2 linked regions of the Xenopus tropicalis genome follow. The main gene of each other region encodes a partner of the protein of the gene in region 2 in a complex. Links are inferred from orthologs where the notes say so. Each region holds a gene or a part of one and is shown on either strand. Other genes may lie near its edges.

The links. Proteins that work in one complex are often made in the same cells at the same time.
Region 1: the proteins of cnnm2 (region 2) and ptp4a1 are in contact, whole or in part, in a crystal structure (PDB 5MMZ), measured with the Mus musculus proteins. The link is inferred for Xenopus tropicalis from reciprocal best matches to the Homo sapiens genes CNNM2 and PTP4A1. Residues at the interface, in NP_291047.2 of Mus musculus: Phe526, Asp528, Val551, Asn553, Glu556, Gly557, Asp558, Pro559, Phe560, Tyr561; in NP_035330.1 of Mus musculus: Asp72, Gly73, Ala74, Gly107, Leu108, Gly109, Arg110, Arg137, Arg138, Gly139, Ala140, Phe141, Asn142, Lys144, Gln145.

The regions. Positions count from the first base shown.
Region 1 is NC_030681.2:94,858,007-94,862,134, forward strand, and holds the start of ptp4a1 (protein tyrosine phosphatase type IVA 1), read right to left. Parts: upstream 2,850-4,128; 5' UTR 2,689-2,849; coding exon 2,584-2,688; intron 1,596-2,583; coding exon 1,503-1,595; intron 1-1,502. UniProt on the Homo sapiens protein: Protein tyrosine phosphatase which stimulates progression from G1 into S phase during mitosis. May play a role in the development and maintenance of differentiating epithelial tissues.
Region 2 is NC_030683.2:28,842,292-28,846,437, forward strand, and holds the start of cnnm2 (metal transporter CNNM2 precursor), read right to left. Parts: upstream 2,857-4,146; 5' UTR 2,744-2,856; coding exon 1,288-2,743; intron 1-1,287.

The DNA of each region.
Region 1 (4,128 bases), on a different chromosome or scaffold from region 2:
GAAAAAAAAAAAAAAAAAATAGGTATAAACCACATACTGGCTCATTTGAAATATTTATTTGTAAAAAGCACACACTCATGAACAGTTCTTGGTCTGCCTGCTTTTTGAGGCATGGGGCACTGCCCATTTTTCAGCAGATGTCAAAAATGCTGGCAGAGGAACACACCACTTAACATCTGCGCAACCAGCAGGCAAGGAAATGGATGGGTCTTGTAACACCATTCTGCCCTCATACCATGAAGGGGACACCTTTTCACTTTTGCAACAAGTATGTGCTGCAGTTTGATTTCACTATGATGTTTGTTTAAAGCCTAGGCAAGGGGTCATGTGACTGCTTAGCACCCGACTGAAAAGGTCATGGCAAGGTGGTAGAGGCACACACCAATCGAGTGAGTACTCATACCATGAAGCGACCTGAAAGCTTTTATGGATCCTGATGTCATTTTCTGCAGTAACTTATCAATGTTGCTCTCCCATGCAGAAAACAGACTACAAGTGTATTGTATCTTATGCAGCATGGAGGGTCTGCATTGTGGGGAATATAACCCTATGTATTATTTTGAGCATCATTTTCCTATAAGTAGCTGGGAGGTTACTGTATAGTGGGTTGCTTTTAAGCTATCAGTTATTAGTAATTTTAGCCAATGTTATAAATCTGTGAACATGAAAGCATGATCAAGTAGCTTACATAAAACCACCTGATAGGTGTCAGTTATAACCTTTTTAAACATCATTTAAAATTAGTGCCTCACCCAGAGGAGCTTACAGGTAGCCATAAAAAAATCATTTCAGTCCAGGTCATGTTATACTATAGAAACCCAGTACAGTAGCGTCAATGCATTTATGTGTGGGATGAGTTGCTGATCTAGTCCTGTATTTCTAAATAAGTAAGCCCATCTAAAATCTGAGTTATCATCACTCATAATTGCAAACTGCTTATGCAATGCCAACTTTGAAATATCAAATAATTACATAAGATAACTCAGTTTTCCTTTACTTAAAGGAGGAGGAAATGTAAAAATTACTGGCAGGTACCAAATGTTAAGCACTGTTAATCACTATTACAATCAGTGATTGTAATTGCTTACAGGGCTTGTGCTCCTGTTAGGAGATAACCACACCACCCCGGGGTAGTGTTCCTCTTACTACTTCTCTTTGCGCCACTTGCACAGTAAAGTGAAAAGCCAAACCTAAACAAAAAAGGTTGGTATTTTCATTCTGCTACACATGTGTCAGCCTTGGGATTCATAATGAAGAGACACGGAAGAGGATCACTCGCTCACAGCTACTCCAGTCTGGTGCCGTTTTCTCCTAACAGGAGCACCAGCCCAAAGTAAAAGGTAAGTGATCAGAATCACCTAACATTTGGCACCCCCAGTGATTTTTAACTGTCAAACACTACCCTATCACATACAAATTAGGGCTACAGCACATCAGGCATTTTCTCCATGAGTGTATTTCAGTCATCAAAATAGTGCCTTAACACTTTGAAATTTACTCACCAAAACTTGAATTCCTTCCTTTTCGACTAGAGCAGTATCATAAGTGGCTTCACACACTCTTACTAATGTTGTAACACCATATTTTTTAAGCTCCTATAAGAGATTTGTGAGAAAACAGCATTAATGTTGGACTTTCTTAAAAGGTGCATTTATTTCAAGATCATGGCCTATAACCTATACTAGCAATCCTTCACCCACATCTCATTTAAAAACATGGTTCTATTGGGTAGAACCATGTAACTGCAATGAAACACAATACCCATGACAAAACCAATACTTGTGTATTTATTTTTGGTTTCTAGTAAGTACAATATTACTGCTTTCATTCATTAACTGGATAGCCACAAGCATTTGAGGCTTATGTGATAAACTGCAATAACACAATGGCATGACACAAACAAGCCAATTAGCAAGTGCTTTCACAAAAAGCAGGCTTATCAATTTAAGAAATAGTATTCTCTCCTTTATAAATGACAGAATTAACTAAAACTCAAACTGTTAAAGGCAGAGAAGTCTATATAAAAGGTGTTTTTGTGAGAACCAGTACTATATAAAATTAAAGCTAAAAATAAATTCAATTTACTTTTTACTGAGGTATATTACTGCTGCATTATGTTTAAAAGGATAAGTAAGACTTATCAAAATCTTTTTAAAAGACTTCATATAGCCCCAAAATAACATCCCTTTCTTCTTGCACTCCGTTTCAGCTCTCAGCTACCTTCTAGTCGAGCATAAAGCTCTTTGCTGGGCTTTTTTCTGAGTGTAAAAACAGTTGAAGGTGTCTACTGCACATGCCTGATTGATTTCGATTGAAGCAGAGGCAGCAAGAACGTGCCGCAGACACTTCTTTGAGCATCTCCATTCAGAGAGGAGGATAGTTCAGAAAAGAGGTAGGAACTTCAGCTCTCTGCTGCTTCCTAGTCTAGTGTGAAGTTGAGAGGCTTGTGATACAGAATTTACATGAGAATGCAGCGATAAAGGCATGTTATTCTGGTAACATTTTAAGAGTCATTTTAGAGAGAAAAAACAGTTTCATTATTCTTTAACTTCCCATTTTACAGCAAAGTTCACTTAGTCTTACCTCTATAAACTTGTTTAGAGTTGCATTGGTGGGGTTGTGTGTTATGAGGAATCTCATGTTCTTGTAGGTTATCTCCACTGGAGCTGGGCGGTTCATTCTGGCCATTTTAAATTAGTAAAAAATGTGCACGGTTTAAAAAAGGAAGAGTGTTTGGGGGCAACTAAAAGTTAATCAAAAGAAATTATGCTTGTAGCTGAAGTCAACTTCACTCTACTCCACGGGAAAATTCTCAGTGCTTGCTTGGATGGAAGCAATGGAAGCGAAATGGACCTCCGTATGAGAAGCAGCAAATCTTCAAATCAGTAATACTGAGGCAAAAGAAATGCAGTGCACTGAGGTTTACCCCATCCAGATTTCAGCCCCTTAAGCAAAGTGCTCAATCAAATTCAGTTTTAATCCAACACTTCTTGTACAGGCCGACTGCTCTTAGGGGGGTTTCTTGGTGGAGTAGTAATGAATTTCTTCTACAGTTCACTTGTCAGCATAGAGCTCATGCTGTGCCTGGCAGTAGTCTCCACTGCCCTTCAGAAACTCCATAAATGTGTGACCAAGAACACCACAGAACTGCTGTTGAAAAAGAGGGGGAAACAATGCTCTTTTAATATGCTGAAAGTTTTCATAAAAGCTAGCACAGCCATAAACCTAAGTGGCATATATTTACGCCCCATATCATTGTTCATGCATAAAAAGACAATATATAAAATATTAACTGAAAATACACAATTTAAATATTGCTTCATTATGCAAAACTTTTTGCCTGTTATTGAAGAGATAAAGCCACATTGTTCACACATTTCACACAAGGCATATGAACTCAGTTTAGTGCAAAATGTGGCAGTAACGTGATAAGCCTAAAAACTTATCAGTACTGATGGGCAAATCAGTCTTTACACCAAAACTTCGCTAAACACATGAAGTCAATAGGCGCCTTTTTGTGTTGAATTTTTCATGCATTTTTTTTCCTTACAATCCATTGTCTATGCGCATTTTTTTTCCTTACAATCCATTGTCTATGCATTTTTTTTTTTGCAGAAAAACCTGGTGAAAAGTTTTACCCACTGCTACTTATGAGACAAAAAGAATATTCTGGCTGATAGAACAGACACACAGCTACAGTTTTAGGACAGTAGGGCTGGGCGATATGCCGTTTAATACCGAATACCTTTTTTTTTTTTTTAAAAACTATATTCATTTTTCAGATACCGCAATACCGGGGTGTCAGGGTACTCACCCGTGCGGCCCAGTCTCGCACGCCTCCTTGCGTGGGCATCCCGTTGTCCGCGGGACGTTGCGCACGCGTGTCAAAGCGCACATACATGTCAAAGCGGCCACGTCCGCGACGCGCCGGTTCTGTGCATGCGTGGGGGGTATTTAAAGCTATCAAACTTTCTGTTGCCGATCCTTCGCTTGCCTGACTCTGATTTTCAATACTGCAGTAATTATTCTCTAATTTATTAGGAAATGGGGTTAACACCTAATCATGCATGGAAAAAAAATACCGTCAAATACCGTGACACCGATATAATTTTGAAAAATACTGTGATA
Region 2 (4,146 bases):
CTGAATGGCATTAAAAAAAAAATAAGCTGCAACTGTACAAATAATGATCTAAAGACCAAGCTACCTGCTTTGCCTGTATATTCAGAGAATATATTGGATCATAACACAAATCAAAGCTGCTTACTAGGATAAGGCCATCTGCCTGCATTTTACATGATACTAATATATGCTTATATGGTCAGGAAAATAACGATACTGTACCTTGTCTTCAATCTTTAACCAGTAGCTAACTACCAGGGTCTCTATGGAATGCACCAAGGCCTGCCTCCCCATAGGGATATTGCACCATGATGTAAACCCCATTTTAGCTATGGTGTGAGTAGGGATGGTGGGGTAGGGGGAGTACAGTTTAAATCTTGCACCCCAACTCATGGGGCTTTTGTTTCATTACTGTTCTTAACCTGACATGACCACCAACACACAGCAAGAGATCATGCTTTCCTACCCTCTGCAGTGCAAACTCACATTCTGCTCTTGCATGGCAAGCATTATATATCCAAAGGATACTGCAAGATCCAGCTTTATGAATTCTTGGAAGGGCTCCTACAAACCTTTGTTTTCCCCATTTTAATACATAGTTGGAACTGTGAAAGAAAATGCATGACAAAGTGCACCCCAAAATGTTCTTGCAGCGGGCAAGTTTAGTTTACCTTCCCACAAAACAGGGATCTATCCTCAACCTGCCCTTCAGGTGTTGGCACTGCCCTTCAATCCCCAAATTCTTTATCAGTAAGTGGATTCCTGGTGAGTTAATTAAGGTGCATGGAATGTGTATGAGAAATGAGCTGGCATGTCTGACTGCTGAACCCCAAAGTACTAATCTTTTTCTTTTTTGTCAATGATCCAAACTAGGTTGGAGAACTAGCTTCGCCGCCCAAAAAGTTATGCATCATGTTTTAATTGGAATCTTCTATTGCAGAAGGAGCTTTCACGGTACTTAGGGGTATCAAAGTGACCTACACTACCTATTTTAATTGTCTTTAGTAGGGTTCTCCAAGCAGCTGTAAGATTATAATTATCAACAGAATCTGGAAGTTGTAGTTAAACAATTTAAGAGTCTCAATATGGACAAACCCAGGCAAGAAGTTACTTTACTTCATATCAGCTAAGTGTTCATACTATCCTGACTACCAGATAAGCCCAAAGAAGTACCAATAACCCAAGGCTACTTCTCTGGGAACATTTTAATCTACAGATATGTTCTAGTTATTCCCTTTGTGAGAAGCCCAGACCTTTTTATTATTCACCTCCTATCTGATAAGTAATTCATAAGAAAAAAATTCCTACCTTTTTTGAATTCCTCGAGCATGGCATCCAGCTTGGTGTCATTGAAAACAAAGTGCAAGGGGTGGTTGTAGAACCTGGTGATAGTCTTTAGAGGTGTGCAGTCATCAGGATCCACAAATGCCAGGTCCTTGACAAAAAGCAAGTCCACAATGTTGGACCTCTCCCCTTCATAGACAGGTATCCGGGTGTAGCCGCTTTCCATGATCTCGGACATGGTGTTGAAGTCCAGAACTGCATCCCCAGCCATCATAAAGCAGTCACGGAGAGGGGTCATCACATCCTCCACAGTTTTGGTCCTCAGTTCCAGGGCACCCTGGATGATATTGAGTTCCTCTTTGACTAGGTCATTGTAGGGGTCAGTGACCCTCAACATCTCTAACAGTTTCTCCCTGTTATAGACAGTGCCTATTTCCTGACCCAGCACACAGTCCAGCAGCTTGCTTACAGGGTAGGAAGCGGGAAAGGTCATCATCATGAAGAATTTGGTCAAGAAGATAGTGTTGGCCCCGACAGCTAGTCCATGCCTGGAACAGATCGCCTGTGGCACAATCTCTCCGAAGATGACAATCCCAATGGTAGACACCACCACGGCCACCAGTCCAGATCCAGCGATGTCATCCAACAGGATAGTCAATGTGGTGTTGACCAAGACATTGCCCAGCAGAAGCGAGCAGAGCAGGTAGTTGCCCTGTCTACGGACCGGTTCAATGCGCTTGGCGTAGTTCTTTTCCCGCTCGGTGCCACAGTTCTGGACAATGCGCAGCTCCATGGGATCCAGCGCCATGAGCCCCAGGTTGAGGCCGCTGAACATGCCGGACAGGCACAGCAACATGGCAATGAAGATGACCTGAAGCCAGAAAGGCAACAAGAACTTCTTCTCTTCCACCACAATCACCTTGGTGTCCTCCCCATCATGATAGATCCAGGTGGTCTCTGCCCAGGGCTGTGGGTGCCCCCCACTGGGTGGCGTGGAGATGGAGGTGCACAGGTAGTAGGACTTACTCTTCTCAGTCTTCCGCAGGGGTTTGATATCGATCTCCACGATGCCGGAGCTGCGGCGGCTCAGTGCAATGGAAGGCAGGATGATGATGTCCGAGGTGCGGATCCCGCAGGGGTGGAAGCCTTCCTCTTCCCCCGGGGCCCCGCTCCTGCTCCGGCTCCGTTCGTGCTCAGTGAAGGCGATGCGGGACCACGTCTCGTTGTTGATGTTCTGACCGTAAACCCGCAACCGGACCCGGGTCCGCTCGCTAACCCGCAGCGCTCCGCCGTGCATGGCCGACACCTCGTCCGTATCCTCCAGCCGCAGCCCTATAATGACGGTCTCCTCACTGTCCTCTCCGGCCGCGGACGAACTAGCCATGGACCCGCAGAGCACCAAGAACACCAGAGCCAGGAGCCAGCAGTGGCAGTGCGCCGCCATGTTGAATAGGGGCAATGCTTTAGGACCACCCGCCATCTTTAGTCCGGGTGAGGGGGGGGGTCACATCCAATCATGGCCTGGCTCCATCCCGGCTCTCTCACAGGCAATGCCCGCGCTGCCCGACACCCACCCGGGTTCTGACAGGAGCTAGCAGCCGCGTCCAGAATTGAACCAACTCTTCCAAGCGGGGGCGGGCACCTACTGAGCGACTTTCCCGACAACAAATGAAAAGGTGAGAGCTCTAGAAAATGGGCGGAGTAAACTGACAGCTGAAAGAGGCGGGACCAATCCCTGTGTTTTCAGCCGCGGTGGGCGGGTTTTGGAAGGGAAAGGGGCGGTGTTAGCGTGGAAAGGGCTTGGTCTGTGTGAAGACATGCGGGTTTATGGCATGTGTACACAGAGCTGCTTGTGCTGCTGATTCGTGTAGCGCTGGATCCTCAGCGTGTGCTTCTCCAGCTGTCACATGGAGTCTGAGTTGTAGCTCAAAAACAGCCAATGAGCCGTAGTTTCACAAGCTCTATGCAGTCACCTAATAAACAAATCATTCTTACACTTAAAGGGGAATTGCACCCAAAATATTGAAAGAACATGTAGTTCTGAGCGATTTACCAGATAAATGCATTTAAAGACATCTGTAAAAGGAATTGAAACAGAGAGCAGTGTTTGTTTAAATTTCTCTCATATAACAATATAAGCAGGTCAGTTCTGAAACTGCTTCCTGGTTGCTATGGTACATTGGACCCTAGCAGCCAAATAGCTGATGGAATTCCTAACGCAAGAACTGCTGAACAAAAAGACAAAATATTAAAAACTAAAAGTTAATGGTGAAGTCACCAAGCTGCTGTGTACTATGGGGCCCCAATCTAATAAATATGAACCTTTGATGCTCAGGCCAGAGGTTCCACAGAGGAGGCATCATGTGATGCTGGAAGGCTGGCACCCAATTGTTTGGGGCATGTGTGCAAAGTAATGTGTAAATCAGGGATGTCCAACAAGAAATGTTGCTGACTAGATGTTTGCTTTCAAACTGGTGATGAGTAAATGCTGCCTGTTGATTGGTTGCTATGGGTTACTGGACCTGGTGCAAACTCTTCTTACATTACTCACTGGAGAGCTGTTTGTTTGGAGTCTGAGAGTGTGAATCCAGTAAGTTTGCAATATCTGTGCCCAGTAAGCATTGCTTTTAAGCTTTTTAAGGCTCTACCTAATCTACAAGCAATCCGACCTTTGCTTGCACTGAAGTGTTTTATAGCTTTCCACCTGCACATGAAGCTGTTCCAGGGTTTCCTCCCAGTAATAAGAGCATGGTTCTTTGCAGCACTTCATTTCCCCAAGCAGTGATTAAATGCTGGGGTCATAGGAGAAAGTGTCTTTTTGTGCCAGTGCCATATACTTTCTAGAAAATATATAAGGCGGGGTTTATTAACCCGTACAGTTTT